Danio rerio: one gene and its partners. The protein of the gene in region 2 interacts with the protein of the main gene of each other region in a biochemical or structural test. Links are inferred from orthologs where the notes say so. Each region holds a gene or a part of one and is shown on either strand. Other genes may lie near its edges.

Evidence for each region.
Region 1: of the proteins of uba1 (region 2) and ube2kb, one has a biochemical effect on the other in vitro, tested with the Homo sapiens proteins (9 studies listed by BioGRID, with this or other methods). The link is inferred for Danio rerio from reciprocal best matches to the Homo sapiens genes UBA1 and UBE2K.
Region 3: the proteins of uba1 (region 2) and ube2j1 form a complex in vitro, tested with the Homo sapiens proteins (2 studies listed by BioGRID, with this or other methods). The link is inferred for Danio rerio from reciprocal best matches to the Homo sapiens genes UBA1 and UBE2J1.

What each region holds. Positions count from the first base shown.
Region 1 is NC_133176.1:24,896,319-24,900,427, forward strand, and holds the start of ube2kb (ubiquitin-conjugating enzyme E2Kb (UBC1 homolog, yeast)), read left to right. Parts: upstream 1-1,273; 5' UTR 1,274-1,726; coding exon 1,727-1,789; intron 1,790-2,441; coding exon 2,442-2,535; intron 2,536-2,631; coding exon 2,632-2,690; intron 2,691-4,109. UniProt on the Homo sapiens protein: Accepts ubiquitin from the E1 complex and catalyzes its covalent attachment to other proteins. In vitro, in the presence or in the absence of BRCA1-BARD1 E3 ubiquitin-protein ligase complex, catalyzes the synthesis of 'Lys-48'-linked polyubiquitin chains.
Region 2 is NC_133198.1:23,543,961-23,548,288, forward strand, and holds the start of uba1 (ubiquitin-like modifier-activating enzyme 1), read left to right. Parts: upstream 1-1,487; 5' UTR 1,488-1,703; intron 1,704-4,328. UniProt on the Homo sapiens protein: Catalyzes the first step in ubiquitin conjugation to mark cellular proteins for degradation through the ubiquitin-proteasome system.
Region 3 is NC_133195.1:1,235,030-1,239,112, reverse strand, and holds the start of ube2j1 (ubiquitin-conjugating enzyme E2 J1), read left to right. Parts: upstream 1-1,247; 5' UTR 1,248-1,428; coding exon 1,429-1,459; intron 1,460-2,805; coding exon 2,806-2,879; intron 2,880-4,083. UniProt on the Homo sapiens protein: Catalyzes the covalent attachment of ubiquitin to other proteins. Functions in the selective degradation of misfolded membrane proteins from the endoplasmic reticulum (ERAD) and is essential for cells to recover from ER stress.

The DNA of each region.
Region 1 (4,109 bases), on a different chromosome or scaffold from region 2:
CTGAATTGATAGATGTATGAATAATGTGATGGCCAAATGTGGTCACACATACTTTGAAGTTGAATTACATTTTACCCATTCAAGGGAATACATAATCACCACAATGAGAAGTGAACACAAACACACACAGATACGAGATACAAACAACTGTCACACAAAGCTCCAAGAAGACTTTTGTGTACCAAACATCTGTCAGATTATGCCGCATGTTAAAACATTAACATGAAATGAAAAACATTTGTATGTTGATTGGGTTTCTGACTTTAAAGGCTGTAAATGTGTTGTGTTAGATGTCATGTAAAATATATTTTTTTTTTTCATTGTTTAGGTTTTTTTTCACATTTTTATTGGATAGTGGAAGTTGAGACAGGAATGTGTGGGGAGCAATCAGCAAAGAACATCAAGCTTAGACTGATTTAGGTCACCCCAAGCTCTTACTAGCTACTGACACTGAGCATATAAAATATCTCAATTTGTATTCCGAAGTTGAAGGTCCCAGGGAGTTGTAACAACACAAGGATGTTAAAGGTTAGTTCTACCAAAAATTCTGTTAGTAATTACTTATAACAGATTTTTTGGTAGAACTAACCCTTAAGGGCACCTCAGTCTCGGGTACTGAAAGTGGAAGAGAGCTCTGTTCATTCCCTGCCACACTGACAACTGGTATGCAACTTTTCAAGCATGGTTGATTTAACTTAATTTCAAATTGTTTATCAAATGAAAGGTGAAAAACGAAAAAAAGTTCTTATTAATAGATTTATATATATATATATATATATATATATATATATATATATATATATATATATATATATATATATATATATACACACACACACACACACACACACACACACACACACACACACACACACACACACATATATATATATATAGCATACAACACACCAAACAATTGTATTATTTTTAAACACTGTATTATTCACCATAGTGTAAACTTTTTATTTGTTAATTTTAATATATATGCTTTTTGCTGGCTGTATGTGGGCGGAGTAATACACAAAAGGTAAAGAGGCTGTACTGGTGCTGATATTACTTAAATATATCACGGCTATCAGCCAATCAGATTCGAGGACCTGACAGAACTGTTGTATATATATAAAAATAACTCAGATTTAGCATGGTATTATAATGGTGGTGAATACATATTGTATGCTACAAACGATTTATCTTCATGTTCCTGTTAGAATAATCAAAAAGGACCCATGTGATTTAATACTTGGTTTAAATAGTGTAGGCCTAAATTGTTTGCAAATTCAGTGAAAGGGGTGATGATGGACCGTATGCTCTGAACGCATCACGTGGGAGTAAAACAGATGCATCCGAGCTTTAGCAGCACGACATCATGTGACAGCACCACATCATATGGGAGTGAAACTAGATGTGAACGCATTCTGGATCTGTCAAGACTGAGCTCTGCTTTTCTGCTGCATAACACATCCACCTGATTCAACAAAGAAGGACAAACGCAGTGCTGTAGTGCAGTGTTTTAGTGTTCCAGGCTCTTATTTTGTTTACCGGTGCTTTTCTGGTGCTTTCCGTACTGTTTTAGGAGAGAGAGAGGGAGGGAGAGAGAGAGGGCGAAGGAGCGCAAGAGGGGTGTGAAAGTGAAGCTCTATCATTCTTTGCGGACTGGAGGCTCAAAAACAGCGGAAGAGAGAAGGAGAGAGAGAGAAAGAGTGAGAGAGAGAGGAATCAATCAGCCATGGCAAATATCGCTGTGCAGAGGATCAAGCGAGAGTTTAAAGAAGTGCTGAAAAGCGAAGAGGTTTGCAAAACGCTACTTTACTATATTTTCCTGCCCGTTAAGAACAAACAGAAGGACTTTTGGCGATGAACACACAAAACCCAATGAGCTAGCCTAGCATGCTAAGCTAATGTTAGCATGAGCTGTCATATGATGGACTTAAGATACGGAAGTCACACTTCTGACAAATTTGCTTCTCTCGATGTAATAAAACGAAAACATAGACCTAAATGTTTAATTCATTCATGAACATGTCAGAGTATTGTTAAATTTGTGCTGGCACACATCGAGCTTAAGCCATGGAGCTATTTGACATAGTTAGCCGGCTAGCTTCACCAACACTTCTATAGTCTGCAATAACAGCACTCGCACTCAGTGTTTTAAGGTTGGTTTTCTGTTTTGAAATGCCCATTAGTGGTTTACTGATCGTGTTCCTACGTTTTTGTGTGTGTTGGTGTCAGTTAACAGGGCAGCTAGGATGTTCTTTTTTTAAGTAATGCAGCACCTTTGACAGACAGCATTTTTGGGAATCATAGACTCATATCATACTGTCTTTTAAGGGTGCTTATTATGTTCAGAAGACAGCTTCATAACTTGACTATACCGGTTGTTTCTTTGTTCAAGCAACTATGGTACTCCTTACTAAATACATTTTTGTTTTGCTTTTTAACAGACGAGTAAAAATCAAATAAAAGTAGATCTGGTGGATGAAAACTTCACAGAGTTAAAGGGAGAAATAGCAGGACCGCCAGACACACCATATGAAGGTAATGAGAGCCTTTACATGATGTTTCTTTAATGTTTGCTTGGAGATTAATGCTGGAGATAAGATTATAACAGGCTAACGTTTTTTTTTCTCACAGGGGGAAGATATCAACTAGAAATCAAGATCCCTGAGACGTATCCATTTAATCCACCCAAGGTAATTCAACAAGTATTCTTTCTGCTGTTTTTACATATAATATTGCCAAAATATTTTACATAGACATACTATTAAGAAAAAGGAATGTTATTAATATAAAAATAAGTAGATAATAGTGTAACATGGAATTAAAATAACACGATGAATGAATGAAAGGGGATACAAATGTTATTTATCCAAAATAAATATAAAAATATATTTTTTTATTTTGCGATATATATATATATATATATATATATATATATATATATATATATATTGCAATATGAATACAATTTTATCAATGACTTAATAACTCAATTTTTAATCTTAGATCAACTGGAATGACTCTGCAGTGGGAGTGCATCTCTATAAAATCTAAAATTAATAAATAAATAAACAATTGTTGTGATCTTTGCTATTTGCAGTGCATTTCTGTATTTGCATATGTTGTGAGTATTTTCATACATGACAATCTGTAAATGCAGTCAAGACAAAGATGTTATTCAAATAAAGGGGTTTGTTGTTTCCCAGGTCTAACAGTATTTAAGTACAGTAACTGAATGATAAAAATAAAAACCATTCAATAAGGTCACAAATAGTTCAAGTTCTTATACCCAAATGCTTTTAAAAACATTAAACAATCACAGGCGTCAAAAACATATGCACATGATGAACTATAATACAAACTCATCATTGCCTATCATGCGATGTGACTATTGCAAATGATCACATTGCGAAATCGATGCTAAAGCGATATATTGTGCAGCCCTATTATGAAGTTAAAAGTTCCATAACATTTGCATCTGGATGATCTTTGTTTATATTCATTAAGGCAGTAGTGGGTTAGTAATGTTCAGTAATCGACTGTACTGCTGTAATTTAGTTGTCTGGATTTGATTAGCATGCAAAGCCTTTTAAAGACATCGGGTTAAAGAGTTTAAGTATTTCACTTAAGTTCAATATTGATTCACATTTAGAATTAAGAGAGAAAGCTAAAAGTAATACTTTGTGAACTAACCAAACTAGACATGAGAAGAAGGATCACATGAACAACTGTTAAAGTGTTCAAGTAAATCTCTCTTCTCTTTGTCTTTAAGTCTAGAGGGGTCATTGCTAGTTTGGAGGAAAAAAAATAAAATAAAAAAAAAAAAGATCCAGATTTTATATTATTGACATTGATTATTTTTTTCCTTTGCGCCAGGCTATGATTAGTCAGAGGATATCAGACATGTTTGAAATTTTAAACAGATTTTAGAACATATACATTATCATTTGTCTTCAAGTAATGATATGAATGTTTCGTCTGCTGTTTATTATGTTCCAAATAAAATGAAAGTTTATTAACGTGTAATTCTCAGTCGTTTGATCTGCAATGCCCCAACAATTGATTAATAAACCAGTAAGTAACAGTTAAAAAAAAAGTTGCAGCTGAACCTA
Region 2 (4,328 bases):
TATTACATGCATTCAATTAAGCAGCAGTTCTTGTTATGATCTATCTATCTATCTATCTATCTATCTATCTATCTATCTATCTATCTATCTATCTATCTATCTATCTATGTCTGTCTGTCTGTCTATCTATCTATATACACACAGTTGAAGTCTGAATTATTAGCCACTCTTTGATTTATTTCTTCTTTTTTAAATATTTCCCAAATGATGTTTAACAGAGCAAGGACATTTTCAAAGTATGTCTGATAATATTTTTTTCTTCTGGAGAAAGACTTATTTGTTGTATTTCGGCTAGAATAAAAGCGGTTTTAATTTTTTTATGAACCATTTCATAAAGGTCAAAATTATTAGCCCCTTAAGTCTTCAGAACAAACCATTGTAATAAAATAACTTGCCTAATTACCTTAACTTGTAACTTGATTAACCTAGTTAAGCCTTTAAATGTCACTTTAAGCTGTATAGAAGTGTCTTAAAAATATCTAGTCAAATATTATTTACTGTCATCATGGCAAAGATAAAATAAATCAGTTATTAGAAATGAGTTACTAAAACTAATATGTTTAGAAATGTGTGGAAAAAAATCTTCTCTCCGTTAAACAGAAATTGGGGAAAAAATAAACGGGGGCTAACAATTCTGCCTTCAACTGTATATATATATATATATATATATATATATATATATATATATATATATATATATATATATATATATATATATATATATATATATATATATATATATGCGTGTCTGTGTGATGTGTGTAAAATTTGGCCCGCGACAACGTTGTTTTCTTTGCATCTGGCCCTCGGCCCAAAAAGTTTGGACACCCCTGTCTTAAGTAGTCAGCTTCTTCTGAACTATTAATATTTCCAGAAATCCTTTTGTAAGCTTTGAAAAGGAATCACAACGACAAAGCTGTGCGTTTTGCTGCTATTGATGCTCATTCAAATTGAAACAATTGAATGTGTAACTTTTCCTATTAATTTGATAGTCATTTCAAATTATAAAGTGAATGCAAAGCGCTGAGAACATTTTTAATTAATTTGTACAGTACGTAATTTTCCTTAGGCGTTCATATAAATTCACCTTAAAAACTTGCTGTTGATGATGAAACTTGTTTTTGTTGTTGATGATGACGATAAAATTCCATGTTCTTCCCAAAAGCAAATTGACGCACATTTCATACACTAAAAACTACTTTTCCCATGGTGGATAGCGCGACCCAAGCTTAGGGCGCGTCTATTGTATAGGTCGATAGGGGATATCAGTGTCGAAATAACGTTTTCGACAAGTTCTGTGAACGGTTTTCATCATTACACATCATTACATGCTACTAAATATATATATAAAACATTACCATCCGGTAATGTATTGCGTTAAAGCATCTGACTTCTCAAATACATACACGCGTTTGTGTTATTCCCCTGTATCTTGAATAGTGGCACAGTCTCAACTCAAACTCTGCACATGTTGGTTCTACGCTCATGAACTGAAGAATACTTGCCGAACTGTTAACGGTACAGGGAATAGCCGGTCAGGCAACCGTCCAGCCTCCCCTCACACTGGAAAGTCACGGAGCTCCCGCCACTTCCAGGGATAAAGTTACAGAAACGGTTTGATTTGACCTTTTTGTTGTTTATCTTTTGCCCGCGAGGTATTTCTGTATTCAGTACCGTGGAGAGGCCAAGTAATATCGGATGTGGTGAGTTCTGCATACTTATGTACCTAGCTAATGCTAACTAGCTAACGTGTCCACAAGAACAGTGTCACTGTTAGCTAAAGTCAAGTTTTTACCGCTCAAGTCAGATAGCCAGGCGCAACAATTTGCCTGTAAATATCATCTGGCCACTTTAGGAAGAGCCAGCTAACGGCATGCGCGAGACAATGCGCTCCATGCGCGCATCACGAGCCGGGGATAAAAGAAACCAACTCATCCTTGCGGAAAAGTTGGCCACTTCTCCCGTCATATGGTTTGGGTTATTTTTCATCCTTCCTTCATGATTTGCACGAAGGTTGCGCTAAGCTAACAAGCTTCGTTTTTGGCAAGCTAACATAACGTACTCCTAGAACGCTAGCCTAGATAGATAGCAAGATAATCTGAGTGCCCGCATATCTGCACAAATCCCAGTCTTAAAACTATCTCAAGATTCACGCTAGGAAAAAATGCATCAAATGCCGAATCCAACTCGTGGGGGTGTGAGGTACCCGGTTATTGTTTTGCCTCTCCGGTTAGATCACTGATCACTCAACCTGTTTATGTAACCCTCTCCATTGTTAGCATCGATTTGCTATACTGCGAACTCCAGCGTTTTAAAATCCCACGATTGCCTCTATAGTAAGCGTGCAATTGCTGTCTATAACTCATCTTATGAATGTGTTTTGCAGCGAGCTAAGTGGCTCACGCGGTTTTTGACTCTCAAGTGCAGGTGCGCGAGCGGCAGAATGATGCGATGCGTTGGGGGTTGTTGACAGGATTTGTACCTGCTGTACAGGTAACTCTGACAAGGTACATTTGCTTCTTATGTGCACCATATGCGAGAATAAGCGGCCCACTTGGGCCTTTGTCACAAGTACCACCCCATCCCCCAACGCTTATTGCTCTCAATTCCAAGAAAGCCCATGCCTAACCCCTCATTTTAGCGGTCATTGCTTTGAAAAGGCACTGTTTCCTATGGGTTGTGGGTTTAGAGGAGGTAAACTGCTCTTTGCAAAACAATAAGGGATATTCTTTTGAGTTTATGAATGTATAATTACATTAAGGTGCATTTAAACTTCGCAGAGATGTGTGTATTCGGGCTATTTTGCAGGGTATTATTCTATGGTTATTTCTTATGGCTTAATATTGTGCTCTTATTATCCCCATCCGTGTGGGTGAAATATTTTGCCCACGTGGTTTGTCAGTTATGTCTGCTCCTTGGTAAAATATTTGTGACCTACTTAATAGAGCCAGCTGTCAACAGGCAGGTTGCATGTCTTTGTTTATGTAAGATGGAGTGAATAATGCAAGATTTTCTTCACTGTTTGGGTACTTGACTAGTAAAACAGTTTAGGTTATCAAGTAGGCATTTTTTGGATCATGCGTCAGCCATTAATAAATTATCCTGCACATTTTCATTATTTATAATTGCAAAAAGGTTTTTGCATCATATAACACACCATAATAATCACCAAAATGTTGCTGTTAAAAATGGCTGGAATGTAGTTTGCATTAGCATGCAGAATAATTTAGACTTTTTTATTATTTTAAAAAATATATAAGTATTTTCCTGAAGGATAAAGTATGTTTACATGGACACCAGTAATCCGATTTTAATGCGATTAAGACAATACTCCGATTAAAAGTCTACCTTGTAAACAGTGATTTTTGATTAGTATAATCTGACTAAAGTCATAATCGAACTAAACCTAATTCAAATTAAGACCTGTGGAGTATGCCAATTTTAGTCGAATTATTGAAGTGCAGTACACACATGTAAACACTGTAATCAAGCTATTACCGACATGTAGGACTTTGCTGCATTTTAAAACAGGATAGTCTACATACACACAGCTGTTTGACAGTATTCTCTGCACCTGCCAAGTCAGTGGAGGACCACAGACACACTGCGAAATGCAGAGGCTTTTTTCCTCATACGGCACGCTGTATCAAATTTCAATAAAAAACACTTTTGGCAGTTCATACTTGCACCCAATATCTTGTATATCACAGGGGGCATGCATGAAATGTTCCCAAGTGAAAGTGCCAAAATGCAGGTAAAGTTGAGAAATTAAAAATGAAACACCTGAAATTACATGAAACTCTAGATAAAGTGTTTACAGGGTGGTGACGCTGTGACGTTAATCGAATTATGTGCTACAACATCTAAAACAGGATGAAAGGAGCATTTAAAAAGCAACTCATGTAAACACCCTAATCATATTATTGTCTTATTCAGATTAAGGCAAATGATTTGATTATGTCCATGTAACGTAGTCATTGATACTCACTGGGAGACATATATGACAATACCCTTAATATACAAAACAAGTTTTTCAGTATGTGTTAAAAAAAAGTCCATCCACAATCAGATTATAAATGCACTGATGTGTGTGTGTGTGTGTGTGTGTGTGTGTGTATATATATATATATATATATATATATATATATATATATATATATATATATATATATATATATATATATATATATATATATATATAGCATAATACCTGCTTAGCTCTGCGGATTGGCAAAGACATTAACTCTTAAAGAATTTATTTCTCAGCAAAACCACTCAAACTGTTCATTCTATGTATTTTTTTCTGAACATTTCATTAACCTTTCTGT
Region 3 (4,083 bases), on a different chromosome or scaffold from region 2:
TGTTACATTCTTCGTTCCACATAATTTATTTCACATTTATTATTATAACACTTAAACGGGTTGATCTGATTCTGTTGCATAAGCAGGGTTGACTTTAATTTTTCTTAAATCAAGAAACAGATTAAAGTTTGTTCATCCATTCGTGACTTCACAAAGCTTCTCTTGACAATTTCCCGTTTTATTCCTGCATATTTTATTATTTTTGTTTAGATTCTGTTTTTTCCCCCTTTGTGTTCGCAGGCATACATATCCTGTAACTATAACACGAAATAGCTTTAATGTAAAAATGTAATCTTTAATATTTGTCGGCTCTATGCACAGCTAGTGCCAATGATGAACTTCCTGTGAGATCTTTATGTGACTATTTTCAATTTCATAAGGTTCCTTTTACAGCCTTGATGTTGTAATGTAATTAAAATGCATTCAGTTCAATAGACTAAAGCATTAATTTAGTTGTTAAACCGTAAAAAGAGACGAAAGACAGTTTAAACGCAGGCACCATCATTACCCGCAGGCGAGCGCAGAAACTCCATTGAAAATACTGAGGTAAAATTAATTTCCATATTTTAAAGACATGGCAGGGGGAAATATAACTTAATGCAGTGCTTCTTGCTTGGACTGATACCCACTTTATATCCTATCTTAGCCAGGCAGTGAAGATCACTGATTTTTTTTAAAGAAATCAGATCTTATTTTGTATGGGATGACAATTAACCGGAAGCCCTGAGGCTGGCTGACTGAAAATAAAAGTCCGTGTGCATATACCCCACTAATATTTTTGGACTGATATTGAGTCTAAACCACATAGTGGAAGTATACAAAATCTAATAATGAGAAAATTTATAATAATGAACAATACATACAGCATTTATAACCATAGTTCAACATTTACTAACAATCCCATTCTTTTTAAAAAAAAATAACGTTATCCCTTCTACAAAACATTTCCGCCCCTACTCAATATTTCGTTTTAGTTAAAATATGTTTTTTATATATAATTTTTTATTGCTGTTTAGAAATATAGCAACATTTAAACATTTTACACAGGGCATACGTACAGCTAGTTGGAAGTACGTCAACCCGCATCAACATACTGAAATAAAAGTCTCAGTAACGTCCGGTTCACGGAGACTTTTAAAACATAAAATCATGACGTCAAATCTCACTGTTGTTCTTGTCAGGCGCATCAATAAAGCTTTCCGTTGTAAAATACAAGTTTACTTCCTGTTTTCATTTTTTCTTCATGTGACATCTGAGACATTTCATCTCGAAAGTGTGTAAAAACACACACACACACACCGCGCGCGCTGCCACGTCAGGGTTACAGCTCTAGATAAACACCTGGCAGAGCTCACACAACACACACTCGGCGGATAAACACACACTCACAGGAGCGCAGATCAGCCGAGCGCCGGATTATTGAGCATCATGGAGAGCAAATACAACCTGAAGAGTCCAGGTGAGTCAAACCTCTGATCTCTATCTCTCTCTCTCACACACACACACACACACTGCTGTCGCGAGCTATAAACCACACCATAACATCTGCACTCATCCATCCGTCCAGCCGGTCTTTTCACTGTGTCGAGCTAGCTAACGGTAGACTTACGTTACTAGCCGCAGTCACAGGTGTGTGTGCGTGTGTGTGTGTGTGTAATGAATATTAGTTTGTAATAAATGATTGATTGTGTGCGTGTTTGTAATTTATGTGTGTTTTTAATGTGTGTCTTTGTAGTGTGTTTGTGTGTGTGTCTTTTTATTTTGTGTGCTAGTAGTGTGTGTGTGTGTGTGTGTGTGTGTGTGTGTGTGTGTGTTTGTAGTGTATGCTTGTCATTTTGATGCATGTGTCTTTTCCGTGTGTGTGTGTGTTTGTGTCTTTTTCATGTGTGTGAGTGTGTGTGTTTGTAGTGTGTGTGTGTGTGTGTGTGTGTGTGTCTTTGTAATGTGTGTGTATGTAATGCATTTGTATGTGTAGTGTGTGTGTGTGTGTGTTTAAATGAGTGTATGTATTGAGTGAGTGTGTTTGTGTGTGTCTTTATAATGTGTGTCTGAGTGTAATGTGTGTGTGTGTGTGTGTTTAAATGAGTGCTTGTAATGATTGGGTGTGTTTGTAATGGGGTTGTGTTTAATGAATGTGTGTGTGCGTGTGTGTCTTTGTAATGTGTGTCTTTGTAATGTGTGTCTGAGTGTATATAATGTGTGTGTGTGTGTGTGTGTTTAATAAATGTGTGTGTTTGTAGTTAACTATTTATGTGCTGTAGGTAAATGGTGTGTTTCAATTCTGCCACCACCGCAAGTAAATTTCCAACCTGTGTTGAGCATTGCATTCAGATGCACTCATCCACCATTACATGGACTACAAGTTCCAGTCATGCACCACACACACACACCTGCTCAAAGTCTGAAGCTGCTCTTGTACTGATTATACCACACACACGTCTGTCTCGCCTTGACACGTTCACTCTCATGGCTGAGTCTTGTTATGCTGAATTGGGAACATCACGACGTGGTTTCCTTGCCTTCCGTGTCTGACCTTTGCTTTGTTTTGTTTGTTTTACGTTGTTTGCTGCCTGCCTTTTGACCATCCGCCTGTTATATGAGCATGACTCTGGATCTGCCTGTATACATCTGTTTGCCCTTGTGTTGATCGTTGCTTGCCTGACCATTCTCTGTTCAATAAACCCTGCTTTTGTTAAACTAGGCAAATTTTCAAATTTAGTAAACTAATAATACTGTGTGTGTGTGTGTGTGTGTGTGTGTGTGTGTGTGTGTGTGTGTGTGTGTGTGTGTGTGTGTGTGTGTTAGCTGTGAAGAGGCTGATGAAGGAGGCGGCAGAGCTTCGTGACCCCACAGAACATTATCACGCTCAGCCACTGGAGGTGAGACTTTATTATTTATAGGAATTGAATTTCTGGGAGTTTCTTCATGCGTTATCATCTGTTTTAGTGTGTAACTTTATGTGAAACGTGTGTTTTCTGTAGCGCTGTTTGTGTCTTGCTTGTTTGACGTTTTAATAACAGAAGTTACAGAATGTTTAATTCTGTAAATGTTCAGAAGAAACAATGAATATTAGACTGACAATTAGTATTATTCATTGTTGTTCGTATTATAAATGTTAAACGTTTTAAATGCATCTTGTTATTTAAATGGAGTTATTTATATTTAATTTATTAAATTGTTCATAAATTTGAATTGATCCGAATTTGAAGTCAATCAAGTTGATCAATTCTATTGAAATAATTATGATTTATCGTGTAACTATGAACTGTCAAGAACTGTTAAAATGCTAAAACATTGAATATTCGACTATGAAAATTAGTATTATTTTTTGCGATTATTATGTTTGATGTTGAATATTATAAACGTAACTAGTTGTTATGTAAATGTAAACAGTTATTAGTTATATTTAATTGACTGAATTGTTACATCAATTTTTTTATAATTATTATGATCTTTTAAAAGTTTGATGTCAATCAAAAATCTGAAGTTGATAATAAATTATATTTAATTAGGATTCATTTTGTAACTTCTATTATTAAAACGCTAAATCAGTCAACATTAAACTATAAAAATGTGTATTTGTTGTGTTATTAAATGTAAGTTTTTAATGCACAAAATGCAGTTAAAATGCAAAACAACAGTTGTAATTTATATTTTATTCATTAACTTGTTACATAAATACTTTTATCATTTTATATAATTCATTATTCAAATAGACTTTAATTATTTCAAGATATTAAAAGCATTTTATTATTTTTTAAATAGCTTGATTATTCTTCAGACTTTTGAAGTGTACTGAATCTGGCTGAACCAGAAGTTGCTGAGACTTCAGTATGTTGATGTGCTTCCAACTGAAACGGAATATTGAGTAGGGGGTGGGGCTTTCCTTTTGTGCATCATTTCCTTGTAGCAAACTAACAGTAAGAGGGGCGTGGTTAGGAACATTAATATGCAGTTGCTATAGCAACCCTCAGGTTGGCATCAACAGAAAGACAACCACTCCAAACACAGAAGCAGATGCTCAGAGTTTGATTGAAGATTACCAAAACAAACCTTTTTTTTTTTACTCAAACTTTTAACTTA